2 linked regions of the Rattus norvegicus genome follow. The protein of the gene in region 1 interacts with the protein of each later gene in a pairwise test. Links are inferred from orthologs where the notes say so. Each region holds a gene or a part of one and is shown on either strand. Other genes may lie near its edges.

Region 1 (3,621 bases):
CATCGGATGCTTAGCTGGCCACACAGGCAGTTGGAGCTGGAGCAGTCGTCAACACACGTGCAGTGCTGGGCGGGAAGGAGTGGTGTGAGTGAGAGGGCTCTCCCCTGGAGCATGGGTTCGTTTCAGGACGCTGGCTGGTGACGGTCCCAGCGAGAGGGGGAGTCTTCATGTGCCCCAGTGTGGAGGGACTCCCACATCAGGCTCCTTCAGCCCCTGCTCCCTCGAGCCCGGTGGGGCCTGTGTCTCACCTGCAGGTGAGTGATGTTTCGGTCGATGTTCATGGTGGACGTTTCACAGTTCTCGGAGATGTACTTATAGTCCTCTGGGCATGGCTCCCCATCCACGCCATTGACACAGGGAATGGGCACATTCTCATAGCCTCGGGCTACATCCCTACAGAAGGGCAGTAAAGTTAGGTAGGGGCCGGAGCATTCCTGAGGGGAAGCTCAAGGATTCCTCCGTATAAGGGTGCTGGGGTGGTGGCACCTTTAATCCCAGTGCATGCGGTGAGACATTCTTGAAAACAAAAAAAGGGAAGTTAAGACACCAGGGAAACAATCTCAGCTTAGAAATAATTATGTCCTCAACATCGCACAGGTTATCTTTGTTTCTTGGTGAGGCCCAACAACATTGTGCATGTGAGGCCAATAAACACTCTACTCCAGCCCCGGCCCCGGCCCCGGCCCCTTATATTCCTCTGTGAGATACAGCATCATATAGCCTGCTGGCCCCAAATAGCGAGATAGCCAAGAATGACTTGGACTCTTGACTCTCCTGCCCTAGCTCCCAAGTGGCTAGGATTAGAGGTATATGTCATCACCCTGCTGGACTCTGGACTTTTAAATTTTAGTTGGAGGCTGAGCCTTGGTATAATGCCTCGCTTGGCTGGCCTTAAAAGTGAGACCATGGCCTTCCCGCTTCCTTAGTGTAGCACTGACACAGACTGCAAGCACCCAGCTAGCACAGGACGCACTAGTATTCCTGCTCACCTGAAAAAACATTTTCTCATTTTACGTGTTAAGAATACTTTGCCTGCACTTCTGTATGCACCCCACATGCACGCCTGCTGCCCGCAGAGGTCAGAAGGAGGCATGGATCCTCTGGGTCATGGATCTGAAGTTACAGATGGCTGTGAGCCACCCTGTGGGTGCTGGGAATTGAACTCAGGACCTCTGGAAGAGCAGCCAGTGCTCTTAACCGCTGAGCCATCTCTCCAGATCCCTTTTTTACCCCCCCCCCCCCCCCCCGGAGCTGAGGACCGAACCCAGGGCCTTGCCCTTGCTAGGCAAGTGCTCTACCACTGAGCTAAATCCCCGACCCCCTTTTTTAACTTTTTAACGTGTTGCCTCTTCCTTCCTTTCTTTGAGACACTCTCATTCTGTAGCTCTGGCTATCCTAGAACTCAGATCCATCTGCTACTCCTCCCCAGTGCTAACATTAGAGGTCACAGTCCTTTCTGGCAGAGTGATGCACTCCTTTTAATCCCAGCACTAGGGAGGCAGAGGCACAGGGATCTCTGTGAGTTCAAGGCCAGCCTGGTCTACAGAGTGACTTCCAGGACAGCCGGGGCTACACAGAGAAACCCTGTCTTAAAAAAAAAAAAAAAAAAAAAAACCTCTCCTCAAAGACAGTGAACATTCCTGGTGGCCTCCAACCGCTCCCTTCTTGAGACAGCATCTCACTGTGTAGCCCTAGAGCCCAGAGATCTGCCTTCGCCTCCCTCCAGAGTAGTGGATTAAAGGTCTAAACCACCACGCCTGGCTTGAGGACCTTTCGCGCTCACACAGGATACAGTGTGGAATTAAGGTCAGAGGGCAACCTTCAGGAGGCAGCTCTCTCCTGGTGGGTTCTTGGCTTGAACTCAGAATGCACATTCAGTAGTTGGGTTGCCTCACACTAGCCTTGCGGGGTTTTTTGGTTTGGTTTGATTTTCCTTTTTAAGGTCTGAGTCTCAATAATAACAAATACTGATCTCCAACCCGTGGGCTCAAGAGGCAGGTCTTCCTCCAGCCTTCAGAATAGGAGGGGGTCACAGGTGACACCCAGCTCCTGTCTGAAATTCTTTTTTTTTTTTTTTTTAAAAAGCTTTATTTATCTTATGTTTATGAGCGCTCTATCTGCATGTACACCTGCAGGCCAGAAGAGGGCGGAAGATCCCCTTTCAGATGGCTGTGAGTCACCATGTGGTTGCTGGGAATTGAACTCAGGACCTCTGGAAGAGCAGTCAGTGTTCTTAGCCTCTGAGCCATCTCTCCAGCCTGTCTGAAACTCTTATTTGGGTATCTGCCTCAAACTCACAATCCTCCTGCCTCAGCTACCTCTAAGGCTTGGAAAACATGTCCTTTTCTTTATTTTTCTTACATATTTATTTATTTTTCATTTATTTTAAGAAAGATAAGGTCTCACCATGTGGCCCTCCTTGGCCTGGAACTCACTAATACATACAAACCAAGCTGGCCTCAGGTTCAAAACAACCAACCGTCTGCCTCCTGCGTGCTGAGATTACAGGGGTGGCCACCACACCCTGCCTTTAGCTTTTTTCAGGTGTGCGACTGTGCCATGCTGTGTGTTCGTAAGCCAGAGAAAAACATGGCTCTCCAGGGACTGCACTCAGTTTGTCAGGCTTGGTTGCAGGTTCCCTTGCCCACTGAGGGCCCCTTATTTCCACCTCCCTTAGAGGCAAGATGATTGTAGGAGCTACTGGGACGTCCTGCGTCTGGCAAGGGGCCTGAGACTGAAGACGTGGAGGAGCTGTGGCATCTGGGCTGCACTCACCGGCAGATGATCTTCTCGGTGCGGACAGCCCGGTTCCCTACCCCGAGCCTAAGCTTGCGATTGAGCTGCAGTGCAAACCACACATCGGAGCGCTCTGGGGTCAGATCCCACGCCGTGTCCCCTTCTTTGTTCCGAAGCTCAGGGTTGGCTCCACGGGACAGGAACAACCTGAGAGGGATAGAAAACCTGAGTCAGAGACTGGACAGTGGGGTGTGGGTGCCGGGAGTGGGGTGTGGGGAGGTGGGTCCGGAAGCTGGGGCTTACAGAACGCAGTCATGGTAGCTCTCCCTGGCGGCTATGTGCAGGGGCGTGTCCCCGTGGTAGTTGACAGCATGGAGGTCGCACTGGGCATTCAGGAGGACCTCGGCAATAGCGGCACTACCCGTGAAGGAAGCCCAGTGCAGGCAGATGTTTTCCTCCTGTGGAGGTGAGGGGCAGAGATCGGGTTGCAGGTGACAGGATCGGGGTCCCCCTGCTCCCCACCAGTCCCCCCAGCTCCCTTGAGTGCCCCTCACGTTGTCGGTAAGGGTGACGTCGGCGCCCCGGGTCAGCAGCATACGGATCACGTCGATGTGCTTGTGCTCGGCTGCCCAGATGATGGGTGTCCAGCCCCCACTGTCCTGAGGGACGGAAGGAGGAATGGAATCAGGGCCCAGACTTGCTGGCCAGAAAACGGAAGCTGAGGGGCACCTCTGGGAACAGCCAAAGCCAGAGCATGGGGCATTCCACAGATGCACACCCTCCCCACCCAGGCTCAGCGGGGTCCTCGCTGGATGAGCTCAGAGGTTAAGAGGAGGGACTCAAGTTCCATGAACCAAAGAAACGAGGGAAGCAATGTGAGCGGTG
Region 2 (3,747 bases), on another chromosome or scaffold:
CGGAAAATAAGGCCAATGGGAGTTAAGGAGGGGCAACCTCCTAGAGCAGGGACTGGGGGTTGGGGAGGAGGGGGGTTGGAGAGGAGGAGGGTTGGTCTGGACTGGAGCCACGTTGCCCAGTAAAGGTTTGCAAGTGCTTTCTGGTTTGTGTTTACTCTTGAAGGGGAGGGCACCTTCCCCCTGCACAGTTTTGTATGGAAGGTGCAGTCCTTAGGTAAAGTTCAGTGGGACTCCAGGCACTGGGAACTACACTCTGACAGTTCTTTCTGGTTATTTTTAAGGTTCCAGCCATCCTTGGTTCAGGGTGGAATTTCCAGGAACTGGCTGCAGCCTGGAGCCAGTCAGGTCCCTCCCTGTCTTCCCACTCCCTGCAGGGTGGGGCCCCATGGGTGGAGGCCTAGCAGGGTGGAGTGAGGTGGGTCTCCAGTGATAGGGAGGGCACCTAGTGAGCCAGGCAGATGAGAGGCCCTGTGGCCTCACACAGCCTTTCTGGATTTGATTATATAACGCCTCAGCGAGGAGAGCCGTGAGGGCTTAGGCGAGGCTTTTTTTTTTTTTTTTTTTTTTTGAGCCGGGTACACAGCAGGATTAAGACATTGCGGGTATATTTCAATTTATCCTGGGTCGCTTGCCCTTAAAACTAAAACACAAAATTGTCAGCGAGCGTAAGGAGGAAAACAAATGTGTAACCCAAGCACTAACCAGGTGCCCTTGAACTTGAGAGCTGGCGTGAAGGATAGATACAGGTTTGGGTCTCCGCAGCCCTTAGACTAGCTTGGAGAGCTGGAGGGAGTGTGTTTGGTGGCTGCCTTTCCACCTGTCCTTATTTACATGTAAAATCAATTGCTTCACTCGGTCTTTCCGAAGTACAGGGTGTGGGCAGAATCTTATCTGAAGCTGTGTCCTGTTTGGACAAGTTGGACTCGCCCTGGCAACTCTCCATGGGGTGGAGCCGATGGGTGGAGGCAGAAAAGTAAAATTGGGTGGCTCGTTCAGAGCGGGGAGGGCGGATCACTGGCTCCTTGGGTCACTGCATCCCATCTGACACGAAATAGTGAACTTCTCCCTTTTACAAAACAACGTTAGTGCAGAAATAAGTGCACTAACGTTGAAATAACGAAGAAATAAGAGAGGCAAAGACTCGGAGACCCCCAGTGGGATTCTGTTCAGGTCGACAGTGGAAGAGCGAGGTGGGTGAGTCCTTGGATGGTGTGAAAACGGGACACCCTTCCAAGGTAGGTGCCAGCACCACAAAGCAAACCTGGCTTAGGGTGCCTGCCCCTCTGCCTTTCTGGCCATTGCATGGTACTTCCTGTAGTACTCGTCACTGGGAGCACTCAGAGTTTGCTGGGGAAATGTACAGAAAGGTTTCTTGAGAAAGGAAGTTCAGCTCCAGGGCCGGTGCTGGCCCTCCTGGCCAAGATACACAGTGAGCTCCGATCTTTGCCCTGTCAGTTCCTTTGGAGAGAGGGTGGGGACCAGTAACGTGCTTACTTCCTCTTTTGAGAATTGGAACTCTCCGGGAGTGAAAAAGGTACTCACTGATTGTTGCTTGTCTAGTATCTGTTCTCTGGACACCTGGCTGAGTTCCCCTTTGCAGGAAGCAGGTAATTGGGACAAGACTTAGGGTCAGGCTAGGAAGAGAAAAGAGCGGCAGGTCTTACTTTGTCCTCAACAAACTGAGAACGCTTGACTCTATTCAGCGCCCCCAACCCCCTTTCTTTGCCTCCCTTATGAAGCAGCTGTGCCGTGAGCCTCACAGACCGCAGGAGCGCTATCATTTCTAGAAGTCACCTAAATGATTCTCCAGGCTTCTAATATATAGTTCTACAGTAACATGCTGACAGAAATCTGACCCTCGGTTTGATAATCTGCAGTCAAAAGTAGAAGAGGGGAGGGCTCACAGAGGGACGTCACTGTTAAATGAAAATTCGGTTTTACAGACTCTTCCCCACAAAATGACCCAGTTGTTCCATTATGGGAAGTTACTTGGGGGAAAAGTGATTTCCCTATTTGTTGGTTTTTAAGCACTTCAGTAACTTTTGGAAACAAAAATAAGTTTTGCCCCCACACCATGCTGTTTCTCCCCCTGCCATTGCTTAATTCAGGTTGAGAGTGTTTAGCCAAACCAGAACTAAGATGTAAAGAAACAACCACATTTGAGGCTTTCTCATCTCTGCAGTGCCTACATAAAGTGGTTAATAGAATTCCTCAGCTTGGTTAAAACCCACAAGGTTTTAAAGACCCTGAGGCTGGTACACGCCAATCTTCTGCCAGCCTCTTAAGGCTCCATAGCCTGTTCTTGTGCGCCACCTACTGGTTCTCTTTAGAATCGCTGCCAGTGTGTAAGTGTCATGGTTTCAGAATCCCCTTTTAAAAATGAAGGTGTGGTAGTATGCATCTGTCACTCTAGCACTTGGGAGGCAGGTGGAGCTCTAGGTCAGCCGAGGCTGTATAGTGAGACTTTCAAAAGAAAAAAAACGAGCTCTCAGAGAAGGATAAAAGTGCAGAGCACTGCCCCTGGGTAACAGCGGCTGCCAACCAAGTTTAAAGATCTCGACTCTTACAGGTCTCAGCTTACGTTTTAGTTACGTGGAAGACACACTGCTAGTGCCATACTCATTATTTCCTGGTTTGAATATTAACTTTAATTCCAGTCTGAGGGATTGAATCCAGGGCCTTGTGGTGCTAGGTAAGCATTCTGCCAAGAGTTGTACCCCCTCTTCCCTGGTTCCTCACCAGAACCCATCAAGCCTAAAGCAGTGGCCAAGGCGATTGGTACAGAACGATTGCTGCTGTCATCTTGAACAGGCAGTCTGATGTGCATTGGTGCGCTCCCATTTTCTTGCTGTCCCTTTCTGTGTCTTTCCCATTTGTTGTTTAAACGTTTACCTACAGACTTAAAGAACTGAAACACCATCACACAGATATTCGAGGCCAGCCTCTGCTCCCAACTCTGTTGTGAGTCCAGAATGGCCTTGAACTTGTGGCATTCTCTTGCATCAGCTTTATCCCGAGGGCTGAGATCCAAGCATAGACCACCTCCCATCTCACTTGCTTCCCCCAGAAGCTTCTTATTAACAGTTGTGGGTTTCAGGCATCATTTATCCTGCTTTCTATATTGCTCTGGGGTTTGAAACCAATAAATGTAGTCGTGTATGTGTGTGTGTGTGTGTGTGTGTGTGTGTGTGTGTGTGTGTGAGTAGTACATACCACAAATCCCAAATCTGCATATCTGTTGAGATGGGTAAGTCAGAGGGAAAAGAATCCTGTAACTTGGGAAAGGAGTGTGGTCCGTATCCATCTTGTGTCAAGTGTTGCCTCCCTGGGGCTGGGCTAGGCTGTAGTCTGAGACCTCAAAGCCTCGGGTCTCTTTCCTATCACACCTGGAAATGTGAGAGCCAAGATAAGCATCTGGTGGGATAGATTCCGAGAGCAGACTCCAGTCAAAAGACTGAGATGTTGGTGGGAAGCTGCTTAAACTCTCTGACCTTATCAACGGGAGCAGAAGTGTCAGCTAGCTTTACGGTCTCTAAAGCTACCAGAAGATACCCCTTTCTTCTCTAAGGGTGGGGCACGGACAGGTCTTAGAGCCCTTACCTGTGTGTGTAGTTGCTCAATTAGGACCAGTTATTAGATGCCAAGACACAACGTGTTTTCTTTCTTCCTAATAAGATAAAGTTTTTGTTTTGTTTTGTTTTGGTGTCATTTTATCTTTTGCTGGGACACCTGAGAGGGTGATGGCAC

The links.
Region 2: the proteins of Ehmt2 (region 1) and Klf3 interact in binary tests that used the Homo sapiens proteins (3 or more experiments, as listed by UniProt). The two-hybrid records come from large-scale screens. The link is inferred for Rattus norvegicus from reciprocal best matches to the Homo sapiens genes EHMT2 and KLF3.

What each region holds. Positions count from the first base shown.
Region 1 is NC_086038.1:3,927,158-3,930,778, forward strand, and holds part of Ehmt2 (histone-lysine N-methyltransferase EHMT2), read right to left. Parts: intron 3,396-3,621; coding exon 3,291-3,395; intron 3,195-3,290; coding exon 3,040-3,194; intron 2,944-3,039; coding exon 2,776-2,943; intron 394-2,775; coding exon 249-393; intron 66-248; coding exon 1-65. UniProt on the Homo sapiens protein: Histone methyltransferase that specifically mono- and dimethylates 'Lys-9' of histone H3 (H3K9me1 and H3K9me2, respectively) in euchromatin.
Region 2 is NC_086032.1:43,848,079-43,851,825, reverse strand, and holds the start of Klf3 (Krueppel-like factor 3), read left to right. Parts: upstream 1-999; 5' UTR 1,000-1,190; exon of another isoform or gene 1,191-1,235; intron 1,236-3,747. UniProt on the Homo sapiens protein: Binds to the CACCC box of erythroid cell-expressed genes. May play a role in hematopoiesis.